Linked DNA regions of Macaca fascicularis. The protein of the gene in region 1 purifies or fractionates together with the protein of each later gene. This does not show direct contact. Links are inferred from orthologs where the notes say so. Each region holds a gene or a part of one and is shown in the gene's direction. Other genes may lie near its edges. The genes, in order: CHD4, SIN3A and PARP1.

The links.
Region 2: the proteins of CHD4 (region 1) and SIN3A purify together in Homo sapiens (affinity purification with mass spectrometry; 3 studies listed by BioGRID, with this or other methods). This does not show direct contact. The link is inferred for Macaca fascicularis from reciprocal best matches to the Homo sapiens genes CHD4 and SIN3A.
Region 3: the proteins of CHD4 (region 1) and PARP1 purify together in Homo sapiens (affinity purification with mass spectrometry; 4 studies listed by BioGRID and IntAct, with this or other methods). This does not show direct contact. The link is inferred for Macaca fascicularis from reciprocal best matches to the Homo sapiens genes CHD4 and PARP1.

Annotation. Positions count from the first base shown.
Region 1 is NC_088385.1:7,496,061-7,506,214, reverse strand, and holds part of CHD4 (chromodomain-helicase-DNA-binding protein 4), read left to right. Parts: intron 1-856; coding exon 857-1,208; intron 1,209-1,297; coding exon 1,298-1,386; intron 1,387-1,485; coding exon 1,486-1,619; intron 1,620-1,958; coding exon 1,959-2,103; intron 2,104-2,432; coding exon 2,433-2,598; intron 2,599-2,637; exon of another isoform or gene 2,638-2,774; intron 2,775-2,859; coding exon 2,860-2,957; intron 2,958-3,075; coding exon 3,076-3,205; coding exon of another isoform or gene 3,206-3,211; intron 3,212-5,046; exon of another isoform or gene 5,047-5,294; coding exon 5,295-5,366; exon of another isoform or gene 5,367-5,642; intron 5,643-5,648; coding exon 5,649-5,786; intron 5,787-5,872; exon of another isoform or gene 5,873-5,920; intron 5,921-6,062; coding exon 6,063-6,171; intron 6,172-6,275; coding exon 6,276-6,408; intron 6,409-9,452; exon of another isoform or gene 9,453-9,544; intron 9,545-10,154. UniProt on the Homo sapiens protein: ATP-dependent chromatin-remodeling factor that binds and distorts nucleosomal DNA. Acts as a component of the histone deacetylase NuRD complex which participates in the remodeling of chromatin.
Region 2 is NC_088381.1:52,615,614-52,625,767, reverse strand, and holds part of SIN3A (paired amphipathic helix protein Sin3a), read left to right. Parts: intron 1-141; coding exon 142-260; intron 261-1,493; coding exon 1,494-1,704; intron 1,705-2,260; coding exon 2,261-2,377; intron 2,378-5,796; coding exon 5,797-6,035; intron 6,036-7,265; coding exon 7,266-7,449; intron 7,450-9,323; coding exon 9,324-9,897; intron 9,898-10,154. UniProt on the Homo sapiens protein: Acts as a transcriptional repressor. Corepressor for REST. Interacts with MXI1 to repress MYC responsive genes and antagonize MYC oncogenic activities. Also interacts with MXD1-MAX heterodimers to repress transcription by tethering SIN3A to DNA.
Region 3 is NC_088375.1:84,277,523-84,287,676, reverse strand, and holds the end of PARP1 (poly [ADP-ribose] polymerase 1), read left to right. Parts: intron 1-608; coding exon 609-692; intron 693-2,797; coding exon 2,798-2,920; intron 2,921-3,509; coding exon 3,510-3,638; intron 3,639-5,021; coding exon 5,022-5,120; intron 5,121-5,910; coding exon 5,911-6,063; intron 6,064-6,993; coding exon 6,994-7,121; intron 7,122-7,902; coding exon 7,903-7,964; intron 7,965-8,950; coding exon 8,951-9,065; intron 9,066-9,410; coding exon 9,411-9,492; 3' UTR 9,493-9,952; downstream 9,953-10,154. UniProt on the Homo sapiens protein: Poly-ADP-ribosyltransferase that mediates poly-ADP-ribosylation of proteins and plays a key role in DNA repair.

The DNA of each region.
Region 1 (10,154 bases):
CGCACATACATGTACCCAAAAACATTTTTTTCCTTTTAAACACAAAAGTAATACCAATGCGATGTAAATGCCACATTGGTTAGGGAATAATAACAAGAAAAAAGTCTGTACATGTTGAGTACAGACAATTTTGTTTTTTCTCTGAATATTTTCCATCTATGGTTGTTTGAATCCACAGGTGCAGAACCCATGGATACAGAGGGCTGATTGTAATTTATTTAACTAGTTCCATAATGATGGACATTTAGGTTGTTTCTAATGTTATGCTATTAGCAGCTGTTTAATTCCAGTATAAGGGATATGGAATCAGTGAGTGATCCTGAAGTGTCTGAAAAAAATTCACTTTTAGAGGAGTATCAACATTTTTGGGATATAAGAGGCTATATATAATTCTTTTCGCTTTGCAGACAGTTGGTAAGCTTTTATGAAGTTTATGAAGAACAGAAAGGCTTATAGACCTCTTTTCTTCTCTCTTATGAAAATCTTTTACAGTATTTCAGAAGCTTCTCCATTCTGCCTTGCTAAGGCTCTGACCTCTTTTCTTTTTGCTTTTTTCGATTGTATATGCACCAGTGCAAGGGGTTAGAAGAAAGCATTGTCTCTTCATCTTTCCCTGTGATAATGGCTCTATCCCATGTTTTTCTTGAGTTATGCTGATTGCTAATGTATACATAATTATGAGGAGCTATGTACTCTCAATTAAATTTCTTCTAAGTTCGTAGGTCCAAACAGGCACACCAACTATTTAAGAGTCCAGTCATGAAAAGGAGCTAGCAGAGTGGGAACTATGAGGACCAGGGGTAGCTGGTGGTGCTGACTTCAGCACTCCTGAGTCCTGGCCCTCCCTCTGTCCCAGGAGGAAGAGGAGGTAGAACGGGAAATCATTAAACAGGAAGAAAGTGTGGATCCTGACTACTGGGAGAAATTGCTGCGGCACCATTATGAGCAGCAGCAAGAAGATCTAGCCCGAAATCTGGGTAAAGGAAAAAGAATCCGTAAACAGGTCAACTACAATGATGGCTCCCAGGAGGACCGAGGTGTGTGTGGCCGGCCCCGCCCCCCACCCATGGGCCGTTCCACTAGAGCAGTGGGCCCCGCTCATCTGCCCTCTCTCCCTCCAGATTGGCAGGACGACCAGTCCGACAACCAGTCCGATTACTCAGTGGCTTCAGAGGAAGGTGATGAAGACTTTGATGAACGTTCAGAAGGTGAGGGCTGTGCTTTTTTGTTGCTTTTCTAAATATTGCTTTGTTTCATATCCTACCTGTGTCACTCATTCATCTTTTTCTTCCTGCAGCTCCCCGTAGGCCCAGTCGTAAGGGCCTGCGGAATGATAAAGATAAGCCATTGCCTCCTCTGTTGGCCCGTGTCGGTGGGAATATTGAAGTAAGTGCCATGGTATTCTAAGGGTGGGTGAGTGCCAGATATTGGATCTTTGGTGGAGTGCGACCTGCTCCCTCTCACCTGGGTTTCTTCTTCCCCTAGGTACTTGGTTTTAATGCTCGTCAGCGAAAAGCCTTTCTTAACGCAATTATGCGATATGGTATGCCACCGCAGGATGCTTTTACTACCCAGTGGCTTGTAAGAGATCTGCGAGGCAAATCAGAGAAAGAGTTCAAGTGAGTTGAGGGCTGGCGTGGACTGATCTAGAGCAAGGGCTTCTTCTGCTATCTAGCTGGTCATTCCATGGTTCTAGGCCCAGCCGTGCAGGGAAGTGGGCTGTTTCCTCTGTTGAAGTTGGCAGGTGAAGCTGTTAGTAATGTGTTCCTAGCTTCCCTGGAAGAGAACCTGGGTCTTCTTGTGGGGTCTGGAGATCAGCCTTCCAGTGCAGTGGTGGGCTTTACCTCAAGGTGGAGCCATAGTTACTGCCTGTGATAATGCCTCATGAAGGGATGGAAAAAGAATCTTAAGAGTCAGCATGATCCTTGTTTAACTCATTTCTCTACTTCTTTACACAGGGCATATGTCTCTCTCTTTATGCGGCATTTATGTGAGCCGGGGGCAGATGGGGCTGAGACCTTTGCTGATGGTGTCCCTCGAGAAGGCCTGTCTCGCCAGCATGTCCTTACTAGAATTGGTGTTATGTCTTTGATTCGCAAGAAGGTGAGCCCTGAGCCACTTGCCATTGTTAAAAGTTTCTAGGGGGCCAGGCGCAGTGACTCACACCTGTAATCCCAGCACTTTGGGAGGCCGAGGCGGGCGGATCACTTGAGGTCAGGAGTTTGAGACCAGCCTGGCCAACATGGTGAAACCCCGTCTCTACTAAAAATACAAAAATTAGCTGCGTGTGGTGGTGGGCACCTGTAATCCCAGCTACTCAGGAGGCTGAGGCAGGAGAATTGCTTGAACCCAGGAGGCGGAGACTGGAGGGCCAATAGGAAAGGAGCCTGCAGCTGGAATTGGGTCTTCAATTTCTTGTCCCATTGCTACAGGTTCAGGAGTTTGAACATGTTAATGGGCGCTGGAGCATGCCTGAACTGGCTGAGGTAGAGGAAAACAAGAAAATGTCCCAGCCAGGGTCACCCTCCCCAAAGACTCCTACACCCTCCACTCCAGGGGATACGCAGCCCAACACTCCTGCACCTGCCCCACCTGCTGGTAAGTCTGCCTGTCCTATCATTTTCTGTCCCTCTCTTTTTGTCCTGGCCTATTTTTCTGCTCCCCTGTGCTCAGTTCTAACAGGGTAGTCTGGCAGGACACACAGCAATTTCCCTCTCAGTTTAGGAGGGCCGTCCTAAGAATGGGGCTGGCTCTTAAAGGCACGAGAGGACAGTTTAAGATGAGACAAACTGGGAAGAAATGACCTTCTCTCTGATGTAGGACCTTCTTCCTAATTGATTGTCTCTTATTGTTATGCAGAAGATGGGATCAAAATAGAGGAAAATAGCCTCAAAGAAGAAGAGAGCATAGAAGGAGAAAAGGAGGTTAAATCTGTAGCCCCTGAGACTGCCATTGAGGTAAGAGATGGGGGTGACTGAATGCCACACTAAAGACAAATGTATAAGTCCAGTCTTCCTTGTAGTTGCTGGCCTGTCTGCTTCATCTGTTTTGTTTTTGTTTTTTTTTCCTTTGAAGTGTACACAGCCCCCTGCCCCTGCCTCAGAGGATGAAAAGGTCGTTGCTGAACCCCCTGAGGGAGAGGAGAAAGTGGAAAAGGCAGAGGTGAAGGAGAGAACAGAGGAACCTATGGAGACAGAGCCCAAAGGTAAAGGTATCCACGTTTTTTTTTTTGAGACAGTCTCGCACTCTTGCCAGGCTGGCGTGCTGTGGCGCCATCTTGGCTTACTGCAACCTCCACCTCCCAGGTTCAAGCGATTCTCCTGCTTCAGCTTCCCGAGTAGCTGGGATTACAGGCATATGCCATCATGCCCAGCTAATTTTTGTGTTTTTAGTAGAGACAGGGTTTCACCATGTTGGCCAGGCTGGTCTCAATCTCCTGGCCTTGTGATCCGCCCGCCTTGGCCTCCCAAATTGTTAGGATTACAGGCATGAGCCACTGTGCCTGGCCTTTTTTTTTCTTTTTTTCTTTTTTTTTTTTTAAAAAAAGGAGTTTGGGCCGGGCGCGGTGGCTCAAGCCTGTAATCCCAGCACTTTGGGAGGCCGAGGCGGGCGGATCACAAGGTCAGGAGATCGAGACCACAGTGAAACCCCGTCTCTACTAAAAATACAAAAAATTAGCCGGGCGCGGTGGCGGGCGCCTGTAGTCCCAGCTACTCAGGAGGCTGAGGCAGGAGAATGGCGGGAACCCGGGAGGCGGAGCTTGCAGTGAGCCGAGATCGCTCCACTGCACTCCAGCCTGGGCAACAGCGTGAGACTCCGTCTCAAAAAAAAAAAAAAAAAAAAAAGGAGTTTCACTCTTGTTGCCCAAGCTGGAGTGTAATGGCGCGATCTCGGCTCACTGCAACCTCTGCCTCCTGAGTTCAAGCGATTCTCCTGCCTCAACCTCCTGAGTAGCTGGGATTACAGGCATGTGCCACCATGCCTAGCTAATTTTGTATTTTTTAATAGAGGGGGTTTCTCCATATTGGTCAGGCTGGTCTCGAACTCCTGACCTCAGGTGATCCACCTGCCTTGCCCTCTCAAAGTGCTGGGATTATAGGCGTGAGCTACTGTGCCTGGCTGGTGTCCATATTTTTAGGCACTACAGATCCCTGTGTGAACCATGGTCACTCATGAATTTTCACTGGGGCTGTAGAGATATCAGGAGGAAGCGATACACTGAAGAATCCTGCACCCTTGATTTTAGGTGGCAGGTTTTCCTATCTCTTATGACTTTATTTTTTTTTATTTTTTTTTTTGAGATGGAGTCTCACTCTGTCACCCAGGCGGGAGTGCAGTGGCACAATCTCTGCTCACTGCAACTTGCGCCTCCCGGGTTCAAGCGGTTCTCCTGCCTCAGCCTCCGAGTAACTGGGATTACAGGCATGCCACAACCATGCCCAGCTAATCATTTATTTATTTATTTATTTATTTATTGAGATGGTGTCTCACTCTGTCGCCCAGGCAGGAGTGCAGTGGCACGATATTGGCTCACTGCAACCTCCACCTCCTGGGTTCAAGCGATTCTCCTGCCTCAGTCTCCTGAGTAGTTACCATGCCCGGCTTTTTTTTTTTTTTTTTTTTTTTGAGGTGGAGTCTTGCTCTGTCGCCCAGGCTGATGTGCAGTGCAGTGGTATGATCTCGGCTCACTGCAACCTCCACCTCCTGGGTTCAAACAATTCTCCTGCCTCAGCCTCCTGAGTAGCTGGGATTACAGCACGCACCACCATGCCCGGCTAATTTTTGTATTTTAGTAGAGACGGGGTTTTACCATGTCGGCCAGGCTGGTCACAAACTCCTGACCTCGAGATCCACCCACCTCGGCCTCCCAAAGTGTTAGGATTACAGGCGTGAGCCACCATGCCTGGCTAATTTTTGTATTTTTAGTAGAGACGGGGTTTCACCATGTTGGCCAGGCTGGTTTCTAACTCTTGACCTCAGGTGATCCACCCACCTTGGCCTCCCAAAGTGCTGGGATTACAGGCATGAGCCACCACACCTGGCTAATTTTTGTATTTTTAATAGAGATTGGGTTTTCCCATGTTGGCCATGCTGGTCTTGAACTCCTAACCTCAAGTGATCTGCCCGCTACTGTCTCCCAAAATGCTGGGATTACAGGCATGAGCCACTGTGCCCAGCTGACATTACTGTAATCGCAGACATTTAGATGTAGGTCTATCCAGTTGGATAATAGTGTGTAACAGAGGAGAATGTTCTTCCTTTAGGTATATTTTCAATAACATTTCTTCCCCTAGGTGCTGCTGATGTAGAGAAGGTGGAGGAAAAGTCAGCAATAGATCTGACCCCTATTGTGGTAGAAGACAAAGGTGGGTGTTTGGAGAAGTTGATTGTGGTTTAGAAGAACTCTAAAACCGGAAGCAAGGACTGTATCTGCCCTGCCTCCCTGTCCACACTCATCTAGCCATTTTATCCCAAAAGACTGCACCTGTCCCCAGTGGGCCGATGGCACCATTTTCTGGGTCTGAGAGACACCCAGGTGGAGAAGGGGTGGAGGTGGATGGATTCTTGTAGCATACAGTGTTCTGGGTAAGGGCGATGGGTGCTGGGCTTTGGCTGGAACCGACATTTTTCTTCCTTATATTCTGTAGAAGAGAAGAAAGAAGAAGAAGAGAAAAAAGAGGTGATGCTTCAGAATGGAGAGACCCCCAAGGACCTGAATGATGAGAAACAGAAGAAAAATATTAAACAGCGTTTCATGTTCAACATTGCAGATGGTGGTTTTACTGGTATGGAAATGAGGGGCCCACCAGGGTTAGAAGGATCGGATGTGAAATTGGGGTTCTTGTCAGAAACCGTGGTACAGGGACTTTACCTCTGTTCGATGAGGGAATGCCAAACTGATAGTGTACTCCCCTGGGTTCTGTGGAGAAAGCCAGAAGCAAATTATATAAAGATGGATCCAGGGATGGGGGATGGTGGGGGACAAGAATAAGTAGCATTTTCAATTCTCACAGATGTTTGCTTCCCGCCCCCCCTCCCACCTTCCCTAAATTCCTCCTCAGAGTTGCACTCCCTTTGGCAGAATGAAGAGCGGGCAGCCACAGTTACCAAGAAGACTTACGAGATCTGGCATCGACGGCATGACTACTGGCTGCTAGCCGGCATCATAAAGTATCCTTTGCCTGAATCTGGACTGAGGCTTTTGGTTCTGAAGGTCTCTTAGTTTGAGGTTTTTACTTTTCTTGTTTTGTTTTTCCTGAGCACTTTTCCAATAGCCATGGCTATGCCCGGTGGCAAGACATCCAGAATGACCCACGCTATGCCATCCTCAATGAGCCTTTCAAGGGTGAAATGAACCGTGGCAATTTCTTAGAGATCAAGAATAAATTTCTAGCTCGAAGGTTTAAGGTGAGCGGTTGGGGAGGAATATATTGATTGCTTAAGTGCGGAGGGAGTCTGTCCATCCAGTGCACCGTTCTCACTTTCTTCATTCTATGGAAGGCTTTGGTTCCAAGTAACTTACACATTAGGGTTGAAGACACACAGACTTGAAAGTTAACTAACTGTACATGAGCTGTAGGTGACTATGGTCCAATGAGCGACACTAGTGCAGAGGGGTTTGTTTGGGGAACACTGTAGAGTATTCAGGAAAGATACAGAGGTGGGATTGAATTGCATCTCTGAAGAGGTAGAGCTGTATCTATCAGTCAGTGGGCTGCTGTTTTTTTTTTTTTTTTTTTTTTTGAGACAGTCTCTGTCATCCAGGGTGGAATGCAATGATGCAGTCTCTTCTCACTTGCCACCTCTGTGTCCTGGGTTCAAGTGATTCTCCTGCCTCAGCCTCCTGAGTAGCTGGGATTACAGGCGCCCGCCACCACACCCAGCTGTTTTTAGTATTTTTAGTAGAGATGGGGTTTCACCATGTTGCTAGGCTGGTCTCAAACTCCTGACCTCAAGTGATCCACCTGCCTTGGCCACCCAGATTGCTGGGATTACAGGCGTGAGCCACTGTGCCTGGCATCTTTTTCTGGGCTGAAGAGTAGCTGTGTGGGCCAGGCGCAGTGGTTCATGCCTGTAATCCCAGCACTTTGGGAGGATGATGCATGAGAATCGCTTGAAGCTGGGAGGTGGAGATTTCATTGAGCTAAGATTGTGCCATGGCACTCCAGCCTGTGCAACAGAGTGAGACTCTGTCTCAAAAAAAGGAAAAAGAAAAAGACATGTCTGTTGTCTCATACGCTGAGTATAATCGGGGAAGAAATGCACACTAATAAGCCTTCAAGTATTATGTACTAAGCAATGATGTGCCCAGGGATAAAGAGACAAAGTATGGTATCTGTTTTCAAGGAGCTTTCAGTTTCAAGTAGGAGCACATGTGTAATCAAATGAATGCCATTCTGCATATCAGGAGAGAGATTGCTGATTGGCATAAGAAAGTTCTCCAGAATTGCTTGAACCCGGGAGGCGGAGGTTGCAGTGAGCCGAGATCCCACCACTGCACTCCAGTCTGGCAACAGAGCGAGACTCATCTCAAAAAGGAAGAGAAAAGAAAAAGGTCTCAGAGAGGCAGACACAGTGGCTAATCCCAGCATTTTAAAAGAACTGATTGCTTGAGTCCAGGAGTTCGAGACCAGCTTGGGCAACATGGCAAAATGCCACGTCTACAGAAAATACAAAAATTCACCAATTCTCGTGGTGTGCACCTGTAGTTCCAGCTACTCGGGAGGCTGCAGTGAGCCTAGATTGTGCCACTGCGCTCCAGCCTAGGCATTAGAGTAAGACGCTTTTTTTTTTTTTTTTTTTTGAGACAGAGTCTTGATGTGTTGCCAGGCTGGAGTACAGTGGTGTGATCTCTGCTCACTGCAACCTCTGCTTCCTGGGTTCAAGTAATTCTCTTGCCTCAGCCTCTAATTTTTGTATTTTTAGTAGAGACGGGGTTTTAGCAATTTGGCCAGGATGGTCTTGATCTCTTGACCTCGTGATCTGCCCGCCATGGCCTCCCAAAGTGCTGAGATTACAGGCCTGAGCCACTGCGTCATCCGAGACCCTGTCTTTAAAAAAAAAAAAAAAAGTTCTCCAGAGGAATTGGAGTAGGGAGGGAACTCACAAATGGCTTTATGGAGAAGATGGCGTTGGAATAAAGTTTTGAGGAATGCGATGGAGATTTTTTGGTAGGAACAGAAGAGTATCTGAACAAAGGGATTAGGTTGGGCAAAGACATGAGGCAGCAAAGTTTAGTATGTCTGGAAACAGCAAATAGCCCAGTTGAGCTGTAGGGAAACATTTGTGTTGGGTGATGGTTGGGAGGTAGGTTGGAAAGAGAAAGGTAGAAGAGCTAGAGGTCAGTAGGTGGGTTCTTGGCACCAGATAAGAGAGTTTGGACTTTACCCTGTTGTTAATGGGCAGCCACTGAAAGTTTGTGAGCAGAGTTTTGATAGGACCAAGGGAAATGGAAACAGCATTCATAAGATTATAAAACTATCATATAATCATGAGGTGTTAAGGGTCTGGGCTGTGATGCTGGTTGTGGAAAATGAAAAGGGTAAAGATAAAGGAAACAAAACACCAAAGAATTTACTGGACTTAGTGACTTATTGTAGGGGTCAGTAAACCTTTTTACTCTTCCGCAAACCAAAAATGGTTAATAAAACCCACCCCCTTTTTTTGGAGACAGTCTCGCTTTGTTGCCCAGGCTGGAGTGCAGTGGTGACATCTCCCAGCTCACTTGCAACCTCCGTCTCCCGGGTTCAACCAATTCTCCTACCTCAGCCTCCTGAGTAGGTGGGATTACAGGCATGTACCACCATGCCTGGCTAATTTTTGTGTTTTTAGTAGAGATGGGGTTTTGCCATATTGGCCAGGCTGGTCTCAAATTCTGGACCTCAGGTGACCTGCCTGCCTTGTCCTCCCAAAGTGCTGGGATTACAGGCGTGAGCCACTGCACCCAACCAAACCTTTTCTATTAAAGGGCCAGATAGGCTTCAGGCTTTGTGGGACATGTGGTCTCTGTTGTACATACTTAACTCCGTCTTCGTTGTGTGAAAGCAGCCACAGGGGATACATAAACGAATAAGTTAGGATGTGTTTCAGCATTTCATCTGTGGATATTACAATTTGAATTTTGTATAATTCTCATTAAGTGGCATGAAATAGTCTTGTTTTGACTTTTTGCCAACCATTTTAAAATGTAAAACCCATTCTTAGCTCTTCAGCCATATAAAAACAGGTGGTGGGGCAGAGCTGGCCCACAGACTGTAGCTCGCCAACTTCTGACTTACTGGATTTGAGGTACAGAGTGAAAGAGACTGAAAATAACATTTTGAGCCTGAGTCACTGAGAAAGGTGAATTGTCATTTAAGAAGAGAGCGAGCAGTTTGTAGAAAAGAATGATACTGAATTTTAGACAAGTCTTTTGGTATTTCTCACAAATCAGCACCCCTCCCACTACCTACCCGCATCACCATACACTAGCGGGATCAGAACCAGTGCTCAAGGTACATGTTTGAGAAGCATCAAATCATCTGCATAGAAGTGCTGGCTGACACTAGGAGAGGAGAAGCGTATAAGAAATCTCATATGTTGAGTCATAGGTTTTATGAATATATTTTTTAAGTAATTAAAATCTTTTCATAAATTAAGAACCAACATTCTGCCTCTTGGGATATATTTCAAAGAACCTTTAATACAGCTCCATCAGGTGACATATGCATGAGTGTTTCTGCAGTATGATTTTTGGTGATGGGGGCCTAGAGGCAACCTAAATGTTCAGCATTAGGAGAATGCATAGGTAAAACATGTATTCATATTATGGGGCATTAAACAACAGAAGCAACAAAATTCATGTGCATACAACATAAGTGTACCTTTTAAAAAATATGTAGTGGGAGAAAAAAAGCATAGGTACAGAAAACATCATTCTGTAACTTAGAAACATACATATGAAACAACACAGTCTTTAAAAACCTACACAAAAAGCCACAGTATTACTATATTAGAAAGGTTGCTTTTCAGAGGAATGGAAGTGAGATGGCGATAAGAGGAAATAAAAAAAATATTTTAAAATAGCAAAATAACCCTGTTTTTTTGAGACAGTTTCCCTCTGTCATTCAGGCTGGAGTGCAGTGGCATGATCCCAGCTCACTGCAACCTTTGCC
Region 2 (10,154 bases), on another chromosome or scaffold:
CTTTGGGAGGTTGAGGGTGGGAGGCTGCAGTGAGCTGAGATTACACCACTGCACTCCATCCTAGGTGACAGAGCAAGGCCCTTTTCAATTCCCCACTTTAAGAAAAACAAAAACTGTTTTTCTTCCTGTTGTCTCCATAAGGTCCGAAAGGCTCTTCGGAGTGCAGAAGCCTATGAAAATTTCCTACGCTGTCTTGTTATTTTTAACCAGGAGGTGATCTCTCGTGCTGAGCTTGTGCAACTAGTTTCTCCTTTCCTGGGGTAAGTGAAGTGAGGGGCTCAGCCCTGATTCATGATATGGAGGCCAGGTAATATTTGATTTGTGAGAGTATGTGATAGGCAAAGTTAATTTACTTGAGATAGGTCAGTTGACTCAAATGTTAGTGCCAAAAGAGTCCTAAGAAGTCTTCTAGTCCAATTCTAGAGATGAGAAAATAGTGAGGGCATTAAGTATTTATTGACTAATGGCCAAGACTAGTGGTTTCCTGATCTTTTGACCAGTGCTGGATGTTTATCAAGAAAAATCTCTCCCAGAGTTCTGGAATTTTAAAAAAAATTATTATCATCATTATTATTATTATTATTTCTTTTTTTTTTCTTTGAGACAAAGTCTCACTCTTGCTCCCCAGGCTAGAGTGTGATGGCGCGATCTTGGCTCACTGCAACCTCTGCCTCCTGGGTTCAAGTGATTCTCCTACTTCGACCTACTGTCACCACACACCCGGCTAATTTTTGTACTTTTTTTAGTAGAGATGGGGGTTTTACCATGTTGGCCAGGCTAGTCTAGAACTCCTGACCTCAGGTAATCCACCTGCCTCGGCCTCCCAAAGTGCTGGGATTACAGGCGTGAGCCACCACGCCGAGCCTGGAATCTTTACTATATTTGACAGCCTAAGAATTATGTGAACATTAAAGCAATATTCTTTTTCTTTTTTTTTTTTTTTTTTTTTTTGAGATGGAGTCTCGCTCTGTCACCCAGGTTGGAGAGCAGTGGCGCAGTCTCGGCTCACTGCAAGCTCCGCCTCTCAGGTTCACACCATTCTCCTACCTCCGCCTCCCGAGTAGCTGGGACTACAGGCGACCGCCACCACACCTGGCTAATTTTTTGTATTTTTATTAGAGACGGGGTTTCACCATGTTAGCCAGGATGATCTTGATCTCCTGACCTCGTGATCCGCCCGCCTCGGCCTCCCAAAGTGCTGGGATTATAGACGTGAGCCACTGCGCCCGGCCTAAAGCAATATTCTTGATCAAAAGAATGGTTTGTTATTTTGCCTGGTTTCGGTACAACTCTTTTATCACCACTTTAACTGATCTGAGAGTATTTTATTAGAAAAAGGGGAAACCAAATGCTCAGAAGCAATTCGTCTTAGGCAGGAAATAATTTGTCCCTGGTAGCAGATTTCTGATCCAAAACCAGGTGGTAGTAGTCATACCTCAGGATAACTGCATCATGCCCCTAATTGCTTGTCACTTTTTGGTTTGATTCTTCAGGAAATTCCCTGAGTTGTTTAATTGGTTTAAAAACTTTCTGGGCTATAAGGAGTCTGTACATCTGGAAACTTATCCAAAGGAACGAGCCACAGAGGGCATTGCTATGGAGATAGATTATGCTTCTTGTAAACGATTGGGCTCCAGCTATCGAGCCTTACCAAAGAGTTACCAGCAGCCCAAGTGTACAGGAAGGACTCCTCTCTGTAAAGAGGTAAGGCCTTCCTTCCCTAACAAGGATCAGCCCTGGGTCCTCAGCTTTTTCCAGAAGGGAGTGGTGGTACCAAGGATTGAGAATTTATATGAATGATGAAATTAAGAATGCTTTTAGTCCTTTTTTTTAAAAAAATGTTTTCTACTTTTTTGTTTGTTTTTGAGACAGGATTTTGTTTTGTCACCCAGGCTGGAGTGCTCAAAGCGCCTCAACCTACTGGGCTCAAATGATCCTCCCAAGTACCTGGGACTTACACATGCCTTCACACCCAGCTAAAAATGTAAAAATAGAAGTTTTTAGTTTTGTAAAGATGGGGTCACTCCTGCGCTCAAGTGATCTTCCGCTTCATCCTCCCAAAGCACTGGAATTATATTTCCACTTATATTCAGAACGCTTTTCTTACTAATACCTTTTTGTAAACTTGCTAAAGGTGAAATTTGTGAAGTAATGTTAGTTGCCTATTTCTCCGCTAGAGTTTTGTCTTTTTATTGAGAATGCTTAATCACCAGAAAGCTGTTTTAGGCTTTTGTTTCAGTCTCTCTTCTTCTACACAAAGGTTTTAAATGATACCTGGGTTTCCTTCCCTTCGTGGTCTGAGGACTCCACCTTTGTGAGTTCCAAGAAGACTCAATATGAAGAACATATTTATCGTTGTGAAGATGAGCGCTTTGAGGTACAAGCTTCTTTGGCATTTGAAGTTGGGGGATATGGGAGATGCTCAGTGAAAGACTATCTTAATACCTATCTCTGAGGGGTATTAAGATGGAAGAGCCAGAGGCTCACATTCTTCTGTGGTAAATGCTTGTTGTGGTACTTTCCATGCTTTGTGCATTGGTCAAATATATTAGTACATGTTTTATGGCAAATGTGACTTATGTAGGCCACTTTAGCTAGCCCTTTTAACTGAAATGGTCCATTGATGACTGAATAATAGTTCTTTTGATTTTGCATGGCATTTTAAGATTATTGTGTTTTACATGGTGAAGAAAATCAGCATCCTAAGGTTTATAGTACTTTCTTAAAACTGTTTTTAAATTATTTAAGATCTGTATGTATCATTACCCTTAGCAAGTATCTTGCCATGGTTAGTAAACCAGCTCTGTTATGAGAACTGGAATTTTTCTTTCATGTTTCTGGTATTGATTGCTTTGTTTTGTTTTGTTTTTTTTGAGACAGGGTCTCATTCTGTTGCCCAAGCTGCAGTGCAGTGGCACAATCACAGTTCATTGCAGCCTCAACCTTCCAGGCTCAAGTATGACCCTCCCACTCAGACCCCCACCCCTGCCCACCACCAAGTCACTGGGACTACAGGCATGTGCTACCATGCCTGGCTAATTTTTTTTTTTTTTTTTAACTTTAAATTCTGGGATACATGTGCAGAACGTACAGGTTTATTACATAAATATACATGTGCCATGGGGGTTGCTGTGCCTATCAACTCGTCATCTAGGTTTTAAGCCCCACATGCATTATGTATTTGTCCTAATGCTCTCCCTCCCCTTGCCTCCCACCCCCTGCGGCTAATTTTTTGTTTTTTTATAGAGACAGTGTTTACTACATTACCCAGGCTGGTCTCAAACTCTTGGGCCCAAGTGATCATCCCACCCTGGCCTCCCAAAGTGCTGGGATTACAGACATGAGCCACCATACCTGGCCTAATTGGCTCCTTTTGAAAGAAGGTTAAATTAGAGCCTTTTTTTTTTTTTTTTTTTTTTTTTTTTAAGACAGAGTATTGCTCTGTCACCCGGGCTGGAGTGCAGTGGTGTGATCTCGGCTCACTGCAACCTCTGCCTCACGAGTTTAAGCCATTATCCTGCCTCAGCCTCCCAAGTAGCTGGAACTACAGGTGCATGCCACTACACCCGGCTAATTTTTTTTGTATTGTTAGTGGAGACGGGTTTCACCATGTTGGCCAGGCTAGTCTTGAACGCCTAACCTCAAGTGACCCACCTGCCTTGGCCTCCCAAAGTGCTGGGATTACAAGCGTGAGCCACTGCGCCTGTCCCAGGAACTTTATTTTGAAGTAGTTAGGAAGGGAAGAGTGGAGTGAATAAATGAGGTGGTAGAGGGCCCCATACCACCTGTATCAGGAGGGGGACTACTGAAAGTGGGCTCAAAATCCCCAATGTGTTTATATGTCTGGTTTACATTATCATTTTAAAAAAGGGAAGTCTGGTTTGTCTAAAGAGGTAAAATGACATGTATCCTATTTAGTGTATCTATTACATTAAATTGACTGGCTGTGCTTATTTGTATGGATAGGTATCTTGTTTTTGTTTTTGTTTTTTTTTTTTTAAGTACTCTTTTAGCTCTTTGCGAGCTTTCCATCCTCACACTTGCTTCAGCTGTTTCTGGTGTGTTTTTAATTAAGAGCCACATGCTGCCTGGCCACTGGCAGGTGGTTGGCCATCTTTGCCCCAGCATTTATAAGTAGTGCACCTGTTTGCAGAAAACTAAATCATGACAGATGTTAACTTCCATAGGGAGTGCTATCAAGCTAAAGAAGACATTTCAGCCGGGCGCGGTGGCTCACGCTTGTAATCCCAGCACTTTGGGAGGCCGAGGCGGGCGGATCACGAGGTCAGGAGATTGAGACCACAGTGAAACCCCGTCTCTACTAAAAATACAAAAAATTAGCCGGGCGCGGTGGCGGGTGCCTATAGTCCCAGCTACTCAGGAGGCTGAGGCAGGAGAATGGCGTGAACCCGGGAGGCGGAGCTTGCAGTGAGCCAAGATTGCGCCACTGCACTCCAGCCTGGGCTACAGAGCGAGATCTGTCTCAAAAAAAAAAAAGCAAGCATTTCTTTGTTACTTATGTTTAGTAAGGTTAGCTGATGAGTTAGCAGAGCTTGGCATCTGTTTTTGACAGAATGTTCCTATCCCCTCTCAACTGGTATGCTTCCAAATGAGAGGCAACTTCATTTCCCATTTATGACTACAAGGGCAAAGATGAAAGAAGTGGGGTAAGCATGTGTTTAAGATTTGGTGGGATGAGCGAGTTTGAAGGAACATGTTTACCAATTAAGATAGGTTAGTAATGCTTCAGTACAGACAGCTCCCACATCTGAGTGACTTGTAAAGCCAATGGGTTTAATTTCTAATCATTCTACATGTACATTGATGTTTAGCAGGGGATTTGGCATATCAGAATCACTTGGGGATTCAGGCCAAGGGATTGCCACCATTATGATTGTTGCTAGTCACTAGGAGGAAAAGAGATCTCAGAAGGATCTCACACCTTTAAATGCTCCAGCCTAGAAGTGATAAACATTACTTCTTCTCAACTCATAACAACTCATTTGTCAGAACTAGTTACATGACCCTATCCAATCATAAGGGAGTCAGGAAGTTAGTCCATTTTTTGTCGGTAATTGGAGAGCAAGAGGGGCCAGAAGTATTGACAAAATGATGACCACATTTCCAAAACAAGAAAATTTAGGGAACACTTCTGCAAACATTTGGTTGTAGACTGTTCATTTAGGAGTCCAATAAGAATTTAAATCATTACCCGCAGATACAACAGTGAACTCCTTAGGGTATGATAGTCACTGCTCTTATTATTACTGGATGTGGAACAAGGCTATTGAGTATTTTAGTATTTGAATATATTTAAATATTTCAAGTTAAAAAAAAAACTCTCAAGACAGAGCCGTCTTTTGGTATTGTTTTGATTGTTATTGTTTGTTCATAACGGATCTTAGCAATTCAGGAAAGTTCAGGGAAAAGTATCAGTAAAGTCATCTCTTGTTAGGTTCCTCCGGTCTAAGATCAGTAGTCTTAAGCAAAGCACATGGTGCAGGTGGTGGTGGTGATAACTACCGTTTATCCAGCTTCATCCTGTGGTTCTTATGTGCCAGGTATTGCGCTGAATACTTTATGTGGATTGTATAATTTAATCCAGAAATAGGCTTGTGAGAGTAATAGGTGCTGTTATCCCTATTTTGCTGATAAAGAAACAGTCTTATGTAGCTAGTAGGGCAGAACCAGGATTCAAATCCAAGGAGTTTGACTCCCTACCTTATTTTTCTAATCACTACTCTATTCTATTCTGATTTGGGTCCTGAGCATACCCTTCTTTGTCTTCCTCTTCAGCTTGATGTAGTTTTAGAGACCAATCTGGCAACAATCCGGGTTCTGGAAGCAATACAGAAGAAGCTTTCCCGCTTGTCTGCTGAGGAACAAGCCAAATTTCGCTTGGACAACACCCTTGGGGGCACATCAGAAGTCATCCATAGAAAAGCACTCCAGAGGATATATGCTGATAAAGCAGCTGACATCATTGATGGTCTGAGAAAGAATCCCTCCATTGCTGTTCCGATTGTCCTTAAAAGGTACCTGAGCAAATGTGCCCTTAGTGCTTTAGTGTGTACTTCATTACTGGTTCAGTGTCCCATTAAATAAGTCTCTCATTTTCAACCTGGTTGTCCCATGAGACCTCTCTTTCTCCCCAACCCTGGGGGAGTATTTTAAAATACAGAAAAGAAGATAATTACCACCCATGTTCCTGCCACGCTCAGGACTAACTGTTGTTAACATCTTTGTGGTTTTTTTGTTTGTTTGTTTGTTTGAGACAAGATCTCTCTCTTTCACCCAGGCTGGAGTGCAGTAGTAAGAACACAGCTTACTGCAGCCGCAACTTCCCAGGCTCAGGTGATCCTCCCACCTCAGCCTCCTGAATAGCTGGGACTACAGGAGTACACCACCACACCCAGCTAATTTTTATTTTATTTTTTTTTAATAGAGATAAGGTCTTGCTATGTTTCCCAGGCTGGCCTCTAACTCCTGGGCTCAAGCAGTCCTCCTGCCTTGGCCTCCTCAAAGTGCTAGCATTACAGGCACCAGCCACACCATGCCCAGCCCCATGTCATTATTGACCACACTGTAAATCCTTTGTTAGGAGCTTGGTTCTCTCAGTATCATCTGGTAAAAACTAATTCTTAGTTGCTGCACAGTTCACAAATACCCAGATTTTATTTGTCCTCCCTCATCTTCCCCTCAAGAGCTGGCACAGATTGATGGTTTCTTCTTCTTGCCTGTAGTATTTAACTTCTGGCTTTTGAAATATAGGTTATTCTTCAGTTTTAGTGCTGTTTTTTTGTCTTAGCCTGTTCTCTTCTGGTTTATTAGAATCAGTTCTGATCAGAACTTTCCAGACTGTATCCAGAGGAACATAACTGTGCAAGTTCTCTGCTCTTGGACTTCTGTGTTTCTATTAGCATTGTGAACATTTTACAAAGTCCTACAGCAGAGAAACAAGAACTCTTTTTGCAAGGAATACTTACATCTCAAAGGTATTCCCTGGAATGCTGTTTGATAAGTAACCATTCTAGGTAAATTATTTGACTTTGAGATAACTCATTTCCCCAAAATAAGTCTTAGATAAGTAATTTCCTCATGAAACAGAGTTCAAGACTGGTTTGATAACATCCCAAGTTGCCAATAATTTTGACAGACCTAATATAGCTTTGACTTTTCTTGAAAGAAAGTAAACCTGGCAAATTTCTTTCTTCTAAACCCTCTGAATTCCCATATGTTGTTTCCATCCCTTCCCACTTCACTAGGTTGAAGATGAAAGAGGAAGAATGGCGAGAAGCTCAGCGAGGCTTTAACAAAGTATGGCGAGAACAAAATGAGAAATACTACTTGAAGTCTCTGGACCACCAGGGGATCAACTTTAAACAGAATGACACAAAGGTCCTGAGGTCTAAGAGCTTACTCAATGAGATTGAGAGTATCTATGATGAGGTGAGCTGGGGTTTTCTACATCTGTGAGTGGACTCTAGTCTATGTTTAGCACAGCTTTGATTTCTGGAAATTACCTTTGTTAAATGCAGGTGAGACTCTCTAAGACCTGTTGATTCCTGCTTTATAGCTGTCATAGCCTTTTCTATTCCTCATTCTACTATTTTAAATCTAAACTTTACCTTTATACCTAAGCTATTTGACTAGTTCCCTAGTTTACTATCCTGGTTTCAACTTATACCTCCTGCCTCCATTTTCCACTTCTCCCACTGCCTGTTTCCCTCAAACAATACCTTGTATCATATAGTCCCATCTCTCCTTACTATAGCTTCAAAACTTGTCATTGACCACCAAACTCTTTGTAATCCTTGCTTATTCAGCATGCCTACTAGAACTATAAATAGTACTAGGAGCTAGGATCAGAGATGAATAAGCAATCAATTCTGGTTTCCATGGGCTCAGTTTTAGCAGATGGATAGAAACATAAATGCAGTGCAATTGGGAATTCCTGGAGTGGGGTGATCCTGAATTTTAAAAATAGTAAAATGAGCTCTTAGGTGAACTCAATCAGGCCGGGGACAGTGGCTCACACCTGTAATCACAGCACTTTGGGAGGCCGTGGCGGGCGGATCACCTGAGGTCAGGAGTTAAAGAGACCAGCCCTGCCAACATGATGAAACCCCGTCTCTACTAAAAATACAAAAATTAGCCGGGCATGGTGGTTGCACCTGTAGTCCCAGCTACTTGGTAGACTGAGGTGGGAGAATGTCTTGAACCCGGGAGGCAGAGGATGCAATGAGCTGAGAGCATGCCACTGCACTGTAGTCTGGGTGACAGAGCAAGACTCTGTCTCAAAATCAATAAAATAAATAAACTTAATCCATATTTTGCTGATGTTACTTTGTCACCCTCCGTACCCCCACCCCAGAAGTAAATTACAGACCTCATATCATATCCTCTATATAAATACTAGTCCAGAATTTTGAAAGATAGTCCCACGGGGCACAGTGGCTTCCGCCTATAATCCCATCACTTTGGGAGGCTGAGGTGGGCAGATCACTTGAGGCCAGGAGTTCGAAACCAGCCTGGGGACATGGTGAAACCTCATCTCTAACAAAAATACAAAAATTAGCCTGGCATGGTGGCACACTTCTGTAATCCCAGCTACGCAGGAGGCTGAAGCATGAGAATGGCTTGAACCCGAGAGATGGAGGTTATAGTGAACCAGGATTGTTCCACTGCACTCCAGCCTAAGTGACAGAGCGAGACCCTGTCAAAAAAAAAAAAAAAGAAAAAGAAAGATGGCTCCAGTTCTGTCCCACTCGCCCTGTAAGTCATTGGGGTATAGAAGGTACCTGTATTTTGACATCAAACCACATCTCCGTCATTACCTATTTGTTTCTGGAAGAGGGACAAAATTATTGTTACGGTTTGGCCCTAAGTTTTGTTTTTGTTTTTTGTTTGGAGACAGAGTCTCACTCTGTTGCCCAGGCTGGAGTGCAGCAGTACGATCTCGGCTCACTGCAACTTTTGCCTCATGAGTTCAAGTGATTCTCCTGCCTTAGCATCCCGAAGGCTGGGATTACAGGCACCCACCACCATGTTCAGCTAATTTTGTTATTTTTAGTAGAGATGGGGTTTCACCATGTTGGCCAGGCTAATCTCAAACTCCTGACCTCAAGTGATCGCCCTCCTCGGCCTACCAAAGTGCTGGGATTATAGGTGTAAGCCACCGCTCCCAACCCCAGGTCCTAAGTTTTTTATTAGAAAAACATAGACACTGTAGTTGATAATGGGATGTATGGCTGGTGTGGTCTCGTAGGCATGTTGTCGCTGTAGACACCTCACAGAATATTTTTGTGTCTCTGTCCCATCAGAGGCAAGAGCAGGCTACGGAGGAGAATGCTGGTGTACCTGTTGGCCCACACCTCTCACTTGCGTATGAAGACAAACAAATACTGGAAGATGCTGCTGCTCTGATTATCCACCATGTGAAGAGGCAGACAGGCATTCAGAAGGAGGACAAGTATAAGATAAAACAAATCATGCATCATTTTATTCCAGATTTGCTCTTTGCCCAAAGAGGTGATCTCTCAGATGTGGAGGAAGAGGAAGAAGAAGAGATGGATGTAGATGAAGCCACAGGGGCAGTTAAGAAGCACAATGGTGTTGGGAGCAGTCCCCCTAAGTCCAAGTTACTGTTTAGTAACACAGCAGCTCAAAAATTAAGAGGAATGGATGAAGTATACAACCTCTTCTATGTCAATAACAACTGGTATATTTTTATGCGACTGCACCAGATTCTCTGCCTGAGGCTGCTACGGATTTGTTCCCAAGCCGAACGACAAATTGAAGAAGAAAACCGAGAGAGAGAATGGGAACGGGAAGTGCTGGGCATAAAGCGAGACAAGAGTGACAGCCCTGCCATTCAGCTACGTCTCAAAGAACCTAGTGAGTGCTGAGACCTTTGATTTACAGAGGATGTGTGAGGTTGAGGACCTTAGAGCTACCTAGACTTGGGACTGCTTCTTTTATTAATAGAGCACAGGCCTTAGAGTCTGTGTAGTTGGTTAAACTCTCTGAACCTGTTTATCTGAAAAATGGAGATGCTAGTTGCCTTGTGCTGTTGCTTTGTGCAAAGTATCCTATGCAGGGCTTAGATCATGGACACTTGGTCAGTGGTTGGTGTTGTGGACATACCAGGGAAA
Region 3 (10,154 bases), on another chromosome or scaffold:
GGGCTGAGCTAAATAGGCAGGGCTGCTCGCAAAAGGGAGTGAGTGCCTTTTAAGGAAATGGCCCCACTTAACAAATGGAAAACGAAGGCTGCAGATCTCATGCTTCTTCCACTGCAGTTTCTCTTGATGTCAGGCAGTTTCCAAGATATGAGCAGTAGCAATATTTGTTGGAGGTGACTGATCTGAAAGGGACAGCATTGATTTGAATGTAAGTCCATAAGTTCAGGAGTGTGTCCTTTTTAAAAATAGTGTTCAACACTTGAAAACTCTTGGTTCTTTTCCAGCTGGGAACCCAGGGAGGGGTGCACTTAACCGCCTTGGCTCTGGGACCCCAGGGAAGGCCACTGGGCGGGGGGGTCAGCATGACTTATGGCTTGGCTAAGCCCAGCCATAATGGAAGTAAGCAAGAATCTTCAGACACACTACCATCTCTCATTGGGGGAGTGGGGCTACAAACTCTGGATTTGGGTCACTGGTGTCCTCAGGAAATCCCAGCAGGCTCCTGACTGCTTCTGTTGGGGGCCTGAGGGTGGGCTGCTCGGTCCAGCTCTCCTGCTATCACACTGCGCAGTCCCCAGCATTCAGAGCGAAATCCCCTGTCTCCTCAGATCGACCTTCAGAAGATGCCCTTGGGGAAGCTGAGCAAAAGGCAGATCCAGGCCGCGTACTCCATCCTCAGTGAGGTACAGCAGGTAAGCACGGGGCCGCCAGGGGCCTCCTGGAACCTCCCCTGGCTGACTTAGGGGGCGAGACCTGGGGGTGGCCAGGGGTAACATTTACTCAAGGTTAAGAAACTGGAAGTACTGAACTGCATATCACGAGGGTTTAGATTTTTTTTAGTTCAATAAATGGCAAGTGCCTGCCACTTACAAAAGTTTATCATAAAACTAATGAATGGCAACTTTTTCAGTTGTCAGATACATAGTAAACTGCCTATAAACTTGAAGACGTTGGTTACCCTCTCTCTTAAAAGTAAAGGCATCCCTCTGTATCCTCGAGGATTGGTTCCAGGACTCCCTTGTGGTCACTAAAATTCACTCATGCTCAAGTCCTACAGTCCACCCTGCAGAACCCATGGAGGAGAAAAGTTGGCCCTGCACATCTGTGGGTCTCGCATCCTGAGATTTTTTTTGTGGGAGGGGGAATTTTTCTTTTCTTTTTCTTTTTTGAGACAGAGTCTCGCTGTGTCCCCCAGGCTGGAGTGCAGTGGCACAATCTCAGCTCACTGCAACCTCCGCCCCCAGGTTCAAGCGATTCTCATGCCGAGTAGCTGAGGTTACAAGCATGCGCCACCACGCCCAGCTAATTTTTTGTGTTTTTAGTAGAGGTGAGGTTTCACTATGTTGGCCAGACTGGTCTCGAACTCCTGGGTTCAAGTGATCCGCCCACCTCAGCCTCCCAAAGTGCTGGGATTACAGGCATGAGCCACCGCACCTGGCCTGAGAATAATATATTTTTGATCTGAGTTTGGTTGAATTCTCAACTGCAGAGCCCACAGGTGTAGAGAGCTAACTGTATTTATTGAAAACATCTGTGTATAAGTGGACCTGCACACTTCAAATCGATTGTTCAAGGGTCACCTGCGTTGTGGTTTTTATTTTATGTGTCCTTAAGAGTTAGGCAGAGTTTATTGTGCAGTTACTAGGAAGTCATCAGATGGAAACCTTTCATTCATGTTATTTCAACATTCTTCAAGCATCTTTCAAGGTCTCCCAGTCCTGGAACCTTCCAGCTACATCCCGGAGAAGCTGGAGGGTTCCGCTTATGTTTGTGGGTGGATACAGGCTTGGCCTATAGAAAGAAGGAAAGCACACGGGAAACAGAAGTGGGCCTAGGCAGCGGGCTTTCTGGCTGGTGCTGGAGAAAAGGCCCTGAACCGGATCTGTCAACTCCAGTTACAGCTGGCTCTGAGCAGTGAACGTCTCTCCTTATTCCTCACTGACTGAGAACTTGCAAGGCTTTCCTCAGCCCCTGCTTCTTCCCATGCCATAGTCTTCAGGTAGAAGAGCTGGAATAGCATCCTTACCCATTTCCAGAGCCACCTGGGCAGCACAGATGGAAGTTGTACGACTTGGTGAAGTCCATGTTACAGCAAGAAGCAGGCGTGGGGCTTCAGACCTGCTGGGTGCCACTTGATACCCCCTTGACCTTCTTGTGGTCACCTAGGCTGTCTGCCAAATTCCTGGAATCCCAATGGCCCCACTCTTCATCTCTGTGCATTTTTTGCACACCCTTTACATATAGAGCACCAAGTGACACTGGCAGTAAGTGTAAGGGTTGCTTAGCCTTTCTGTGCCTGGCCACTTCAACCTCCGGGTACAGTAAAAACTAATGCCAATGAAGGTCAGTGGAGACAAGGAGCCTGACTGAATTTTATAGCAATGGGCAACTTCCTCCCAACATTTTATTATGAAAATGTTTCAAACATACAAAAAGTTGAAGAAATTTTACAGCAGTAGTCATGAGCCCACCACCTAGATTTTACAGTTAACATTTTGCATAGTTGTGGCGGGGTTTCAGATGTCTGTAACTGCACAGTTCTTTGTACAAATGAAAGTTCATGGGAGAAGCCCATTGTGTTGAGCAGTGCTTTTAGAGGATGGGGGTCCTGTGCTGCTCAGTGGTGTAGCTTTAACAGGAAGGTGGTCTTCTGGTCGTTTCCCATGCATCCTGGCATGTGCACATACCACGCTACTTCTGGACCTGCTGCAGCACCCACCTGCTAGAAGAGAAAGCCTGGCCGGGGGCTCGGAGCTGCTTCGTCAGTCTTGTGTTCCTTCTGTCCCCTCGTCTCCAGGCAGTGTCTCAGGGCAGCAGCGACTCTCAGATCCTGGATCTCTCAAATCGCTTTTACACCCTGATCCCCCATGACTTTGGGATGAAGAAGCCTCCGCTCCTGAACAGTGCAGACAGTGTGCAGGTACACAAGGGTTCAGAAGGGACTGCAGGTCTGCTGGGCGAGGGTGTGACTCCCTTGCAACCGTCCCTCCCCGTCATGATCCCCGAGGGCAGCGCCGATGCTGGGAGGGCCACCTCCTTGCCCTTGTTTTGAAGTTGGGTTTCTACCCACACTGATGGAGGCAGAGCCATTTTTCCTGCCTCTGTTCCACCAAATCCACTGGGGAAAGAGCTGTTGGAGAGGGAGAGCCTCTCCCTCATAACAACGTCTTCCTCCCCATTTTCCCTCTCTGCCTTTTAAGAGAGCTCCTGGCTCAGGAAACATTTGTCTGAAGTACCTTCATTATAGGTCCCAAATGTCAGCTTGTATGAGAGGAAAGACAGTTCTTCCACCTCTCAACTCCCCCAGGCCGCAAGGCCTTGTTAGCATTCCAGGAAGTCCTTAGGAGAGCTCACTGTGTGCAGCAGGTAACAGGCTGGCCCTGACCAGCAGGAAGGTTTGCCCTTCACTGTGTTGAACGTTCTCTGCATGTAGGTTTTCTCTGCCACCTGGGTGAGTCTGTCTCACTCACCATGATACCTAAGTCAGGGGCTTGCTTTTGCTCCTCCAGGCCAAGGTGGAAATGCTTGACAACCTGCTAGACATCGAGGTGGCCTACAGTCTGCTCAGGGGAGGGTCTGATGATAGCAGCAAGGACCCCATCGATGTCAACTATGAGAAGCTCAAAACTGACATTAAGGTAACAGGGTCAGGCCTTCCTCAAACATTTAACCTCATCCTGAGAGCAGCGGTCCCATACTTGCATGTGTGTTAGGATCTCCTGGAAAGCTTGTTAAAACACAGATGGCTGGTGCCCAGTAATTTACTTTTCTAACAAGTTCCCGGACATTGCTGCTGGTGGTCCTTTGAGAACCTCTGGGCATTTCACATGTAGATAATGCACCTTGCTTGCAAGGCAGCCTTCCAAGCCAGCACCTCAGCTTGGCATACAAATTGATTTTTGAGGGTCTTACCAAAAGTTCTTTTTTTTTTCCCCCTCCTTAATCTAGAGAGGAACTCTGTTTTTCTAAACCCTTGTGGTGTGAACTTTTAGAGGGCTTATTACCGATGTCCATTTCAGAAGTGGAAATGCTTGATGGCAGCTCTAATAAAAACACAGTGCTTGGGTTCATTTTTCTCTGGAGCTAAAGTGGCCTGTGTTGGCACACACAGTCTCTGAACACCCTGCTTAGACCAACAGAGGAGGGATTTTTGCCTCAGCTTCTAGATGGCCCTGTCCTTGAGCCTATCTCCACGCTCATGTGCCCCATTGTCCTCAGCCCATTCCCTGCAGTGTTGCAGGGGTTCAGGTGGGCTAGTGTGTTGAGTCTGGTACCAGGTGTTTACATCACTAAAGAAAGAGCCTTTGCTCCTTTCCTAGGACAAAGTGTAGATCTGTGAGTCCAAGCAGGTAAGACGCCACATGTCACTTATTTTGCCCCTAGAGCACCTTCCTGATGGGAAAACTGTGGGGGTGGTTCTTTGTGAAGGGATTCTTATTCTCTGTTTACAATTCTGAAGACTTTTAATTAAAAGACAGTGAGGTAGACCAGCATTCCTAGGTTTTCTGAACTTTGAATATAAATATGAAAATAAAACATAACTAGTCTCATCTATAATACTCAGGTTTACTTAGCATAGATTACGTCAGCTATTTGACAGCTGCTTGTTAGGCTTGTGCACTGAGCCAGGGATAATTTTAATTGCACATCATAGCTGTGACTTCCTCTGGCCCATTGTGTTTTAACTCATGCTGAGCTGGACTCTCTTCCAGGAGCCAGTTGCTTGTTCTGGAAATGCCCTGCTCACTGACAGTGAGCCCCATATTCCAGCTTCCCTGATATCCCAAAACATAGAATTTTAAGACAAAAAGGAACCCTGAGCCCAAGTAGATGAAGAGGAAAGTGGAGCCACTGGCCCAGGATCTGCCCAGCCCACGGGCCTGGGACACAGGCTCTCGGTCATGCCTGGCTTCCTTTGAGGAGTGTGGTGTTGAGCTGTGCATCGACTGAGCCTGAGCATTCCTCCTCTGTAGCTCTCCTGGGGTCTCCTTTGTGCTAATCCCAAGATTCTGTTTACCCAGGTGGTTGGCAGAGATTCTGAAGAAGCCGAGATCATCAGGAAGTATGTTAAGAACACTCATGCAACCACACACAATGCGTATGACTTGGAAGTCATCGATGTAAGAATCCCTTCTTCCCCCACTTTCTTCTGTGTCCTGCCAGCTTTTCCCTGCCCACTCCTCCAACCTGGGCCTGGGTAGAAAAGAGCAGTTTACTTACTTTAAATAATCCAAAGAAGTGACTCATTTGTTCAGCAGAAAAATTAGTAGTCTTTTTTTTTTTTTTTTTTTTTTTTTTGGCATGGAGTCTCACTCTGTCACCCAGGCTGGAGTGCAGTGGTGTAATCCCAGCCCACTGCAACCTTTGCCTCCCGGGTTCAAGTGATTCTCCTGTCTCAGCCTCCAGAGTAGCTGGGATTACAGGCATGCGCCACCACACCTGGCTAATTTTTGTATTTTTAGTAGAGGCAGGGATTCACCATGTTGGCCAGGCTGGTCTTGAACTCCTGACCTCAGGTGATCTGCCTTCCTTGGCCTCCCAAAGTGCTGAGATTATAAAATTAGCATCTTATACAGTAGTTTGGGGATGGCTTTTTATTATGTTTTAAAGGACATTTCCCATCCCCAAACCTGGTCTCAGAACGTACAATTATCAGAGGTCTAAGATAAAGTTCCTCAAGTGCACATCTGCTGCACAGTAATACTAACTAGCAATGGCTGGGCTCTGCTGGGCCAGACCTTGACCTTCCATCCCAGCCTTGTGGAAAACATTTTCTGCATTGCAGCAGACCTTAAGTCTTCTAGCCTTAGGGACAGCCAGTCATTTCTCCTGTGTCCAGTCCTATCTTTCAATCAACCAGAGTAACAAATGGCTTCTTTTGTCCCTCCCTTTGTTTACTACTACAACCAGATCTTTAAGATAGAGCGTGAAGGCGAATGCCAGCGCTACAAGCCCTTTAAGCAGCTTCATAACCGAAGATTGCTGTGGCACGGGTCCAGGACCACCAACTTTGCCGGGATCCTGTCCCAGGGTCTTCGGATAGCCCCGCCTGAAGCACCTGTGGTATGTGCCTGGCCTAGTGAGGGGTGGGCAATACCTGTCTCTGCAGGTGTCTCCATAAAGAACTTTGAGTAAGAGGCCTAGTTGGCTTAGGGGGATGCTGCCAGACATCCTTTCTTTAGGCCTTCACCCTTTTATCCTCCTGACCCTGATCCTGTCAGGAGTTTCAAACACAGTTTCTGGAACAAAGGAGATAGAGCATCCAGGCCAGGGCCTGCTGCAAATGCTAATTGGGTGTGTTGATGAGCAAAGAACAGACACGTGGCTACAGGCCAAGCTGAGTCCAGGCCTACCTCTACCACTTCCCAGCCGGGCCACCTCTTGAGTGTCAGTGTCTTCAGCAGGAAAACGTAGTGATAAATAAGTAAGGCTTTACCCAGACACGAGGGGTCGTGATGCCACCTGCTGGATTCTAGATGGGTCCAGCTGGACAGGGCCTTCCAAGCCTCTAGTTTCACAGTTGTAGAACGAGGAGGAGAGTGGTTTAAATGATGCTCTCTGGTGCTGTGCAGTAGTGTATAATGGGCAAATGGCCTACCCTTTGTGAACCTTGTGTTTCACTTACAAAAGGGAATAAAAATACCAGTCTGCGTTCCTTGGGTGTTGACAGGCACTAGTTTAAGTAACATTGATGAGCTCATTCCATCCTCACAGCAGCTCCATGAGATTATGTTCCCCACTTAAAAGAGGCAAGTAGAGTCCAGAAAGGTTACATAGCTTCTTGCAGCTCCTTGGCACCTGGCAGAGCTAGGATCTGAGCAGCCTGGCTTGTGAGCTAAAACTTTGGTGTTTCCTCAGCATGGGCATTGTGAGAATTAGAAGTGATGGATTGCAGCACTTAGCTGGGTGGCTTGCTCATGTTGGCACTCAGTGAACAGCTGCTCCTAATTTCCCATCAGAAGATTCTCAGCTGTCCCTTTTCCAACCTTCCAGACAGGCTACATGTTTGGTAAAGGGATCTATTTCGCTGACATGGTCTCCAAGAGTGCCAACTACTGCCATACGTCTCAGGGAGACCCAATAGGCTTAATCGTGTTGGGAGAAGTTGCCCTTGGAAACATGTGAGTAAACCTGGCTCTGGGACCGATGGCATTTCATGGGGACAGATGGAATGGGCTATAGGCAGAACTCCCTTTGGCTGGGAGAGTGGAAATTCCCCACTACAGTTACTGGACCTGCCAATTAGGATTCTTTTCTTGTAAATAACAGAATCCAATTCAAGTTAAGGGAACAAGGGAGATACAAGGATACTTCAGGAAATGCAAGGGCAGGAACGCAGCCAGGCCTCCAGAGCTGGCAGTGTCTTCTCTCCACGGACTGGGAAGCAGAGAGATTGAGTTGCACAAAGGATGATCCCCCATGGCCTCCTCCTCCACTCAGCAGTGTTTCAGTTTTCTTAGACCAACCCAAATAGAACTGGAATCTTAATCCCACTTCCAGATTCTCCACAGAGAAAGATCTGATTAGTCCAGCTTGATTTGGACATCCACCCTAGTCCTGTGAACTGTAACCAAAAGCACAGGGTCATGTAAATGGCCAGGGGTCTGGGGACTGTGGAATGTGGACGGAAACCCAGAGCTGCCGTTCACCACTCCATATAGGGCCTTTCCTTGAAAATGGCCCCATAGCAGTGATCGCTGGGCACAGACTATGTTCAGCCGCAACCGCAGCTTCAGGTTCTGGAGCAGTTCCAGAAACTCGGGAGGAAGCCTGAGCAGTTAAGATGGTCTGGGTTTTGTGGGCTTTTATCTCATCTCTATATCTGATCTTATTCTCCTAATCAAACTTGGTTTTGAGAGCACAGTGTGAAAGCCTCTTCTGAGCCCGTCCTCTTTTGAATAGGTATGAACTGAAGCACGCTTCACATATCAGCAAGTTACCCAAGGGGAAGCACAGTGTCAAAGGTAAAGTGTTTCCAAAGCTGCTGCTACAGCCCAAGGCACCCTGGACAGCACAGAACGGGGGGCTTGCTGTCCTGAGAAGGCTGCCTTGTGGCTGGCTGTCAAACAGCTGGAGATTCATTTTATCCTTTTGGGGTGTGTGTGTGGTTGTTGTTGTTTGGGGGTGGTAGTGGTGGTTAATATGCTGCAGCTGACCGTGATTGGAGGTTCGTTTTATTTATTTTTGTAAAAAAAAAAAAAAAAAGGCAAGCTCTATAGCAGGAGGTTCATTTTTAAAAACAGTTCTCTCTCTGTGGCTGCAGCTGGTATCACAGATGCCCCAGGAGAATCTTGGTGCAGGCACCAGTAACCAGGTGCATGGGTTTGGGCTTTAACCTAACTTGTAGCTACAGCATCTTGTAGCCTGGAGCATCTTGCATTGCTAGAATTTGCAGCATATGATTTAGAACTTCCCACTGCCTGGTTGAAGTGGCTGCTTTGGAATTCTGTTAAGCCAAAATGTGACCCTGTATGGAGGGTACTGCCACTGTTCTCATGAAACTCAGTGAAGGTTGATGCCCTGGAAACCTTGATTTATTGCCTTAGTTTTGTATCTGAAGAAAGATAGAGCAGAGCATGTCTTTAAAATAAGCACATGAGACTGGGTGCGGTGGATCACCTGAGGTCAGGAGTTCGAGACCATCCTGGCCAACGTAGTGAAACCCTGTCTCTACTAAAATACAAAAAATTAGCTGGGTATGGTGGCAGGTGCCTGTAATCCCAGCTACTCAGGAGGCTGAGGCACGAGAATTGCTTGAATCCGGGAGGCGGAGGTTGCAGTGAGCTGAGATCATGCTGTTGCACTCCAGCCTGGGCGACAGAGTGAGACTCCATCTCAAAAAGGGAAAAAAAAGGCCACATGGACTCAACATCAAATAGAGCTCATCTCCCTGGAACCTTTGCCACATCTGCTCTCACAGTTCATGTCACTTGTGACTTCTGTTTTTCAGGTTTGGGCAAAACTACCCCTGACCCTTCAGCTAGTATTAGTCTGGATGGTGTAGAGGTTCCTCTTGGGACCGGGATTTCATCTGGTGTGAATGACACCTGTCTACTATATAACGAGTATCCTTTCTTGAGTATGCTGTGTGAGCACAAAGGGATGTTCTCGAGCTACAGAGTCACTTACATGCTGTCAGATTACCCAGGGCAGAGAAGGATTAGAGGCTGTCCTGTAGTCTGTCCCATGGTGACTGTTTCCCTTCCGTGGTCCCTCCCTGTGCATAGCCTGGCTAACAAGGTATGAGCCTTCCCCCAGTTTCCAGAGAATGATCTCCTCTCCTCAGTCTGCCTGAAGAAGACTTAGAGTGACTTTCAGGCTGGCACTGAGCGTCCTGCCAGCCTGGGGGAGATGAGGCACATGTACCCTCTGTTGTATGACCGTTGGCTCCTTAACAAGCTTCCCCTCAGGTACATTGTCTACGATATTGCTCAGGTAAATCTGAAGTATCTGCTGAAACTGAAATTCAATTTTAAGACCTCCCTGTGGTAATTGGGAGAGGTGGCCGACTCACACCCGGTGGCTCTGGTATGAATTCACCTGAAGCGCTTCTGCACCAACTCACCTGGCCAACTAAGTTGCGCATGGATAGTGCCTGTACTAAACCACCTCAGAAAGGATTTTACAGAAACGCGTTAAAGGTTTTCTCCAACTTTTCAAGTCCCTTGTTTTGTGTTGTGTTTGTGGGGAGGGGTTGTTTGGGGGTTGTTTTTGTTTTTTCTTGCCAGGTAGATAAAACTGACATAGAGAAAAGGCTGGAGAGAGATTCTGTTTGCATAGACTAGTCCTGTGGAAAAAACCAAGCTTCGTTAGAACGTCTGCCTTACTGGTTTCCCCAGGGAAGGAAAAATACGTTTCCACTCTCTTTTCTAAGTGTTCGTCTTTAGTTTCGATTTTGGAAAGATGTTAAGCATTTTATTTTTAGTTAAAAATAAAAACTAATTTCATACTATTTAGATTTTCTTTTTTATCTTGCACTTATTGTCCGCTTTTTATTTTGTTTGCCTCTTTGTGAGGGGTGTGGGAAGACCAAAGGAAGGAACGCTAACAATTTCTCATACTTAGAAACAAAAAGAGCTTTCCTTCTCTAGGAATACTTGAACATGGGAGCTCTTGAAATACGTAGTATTAAAAGTTTCATTTGAAATTCTTGA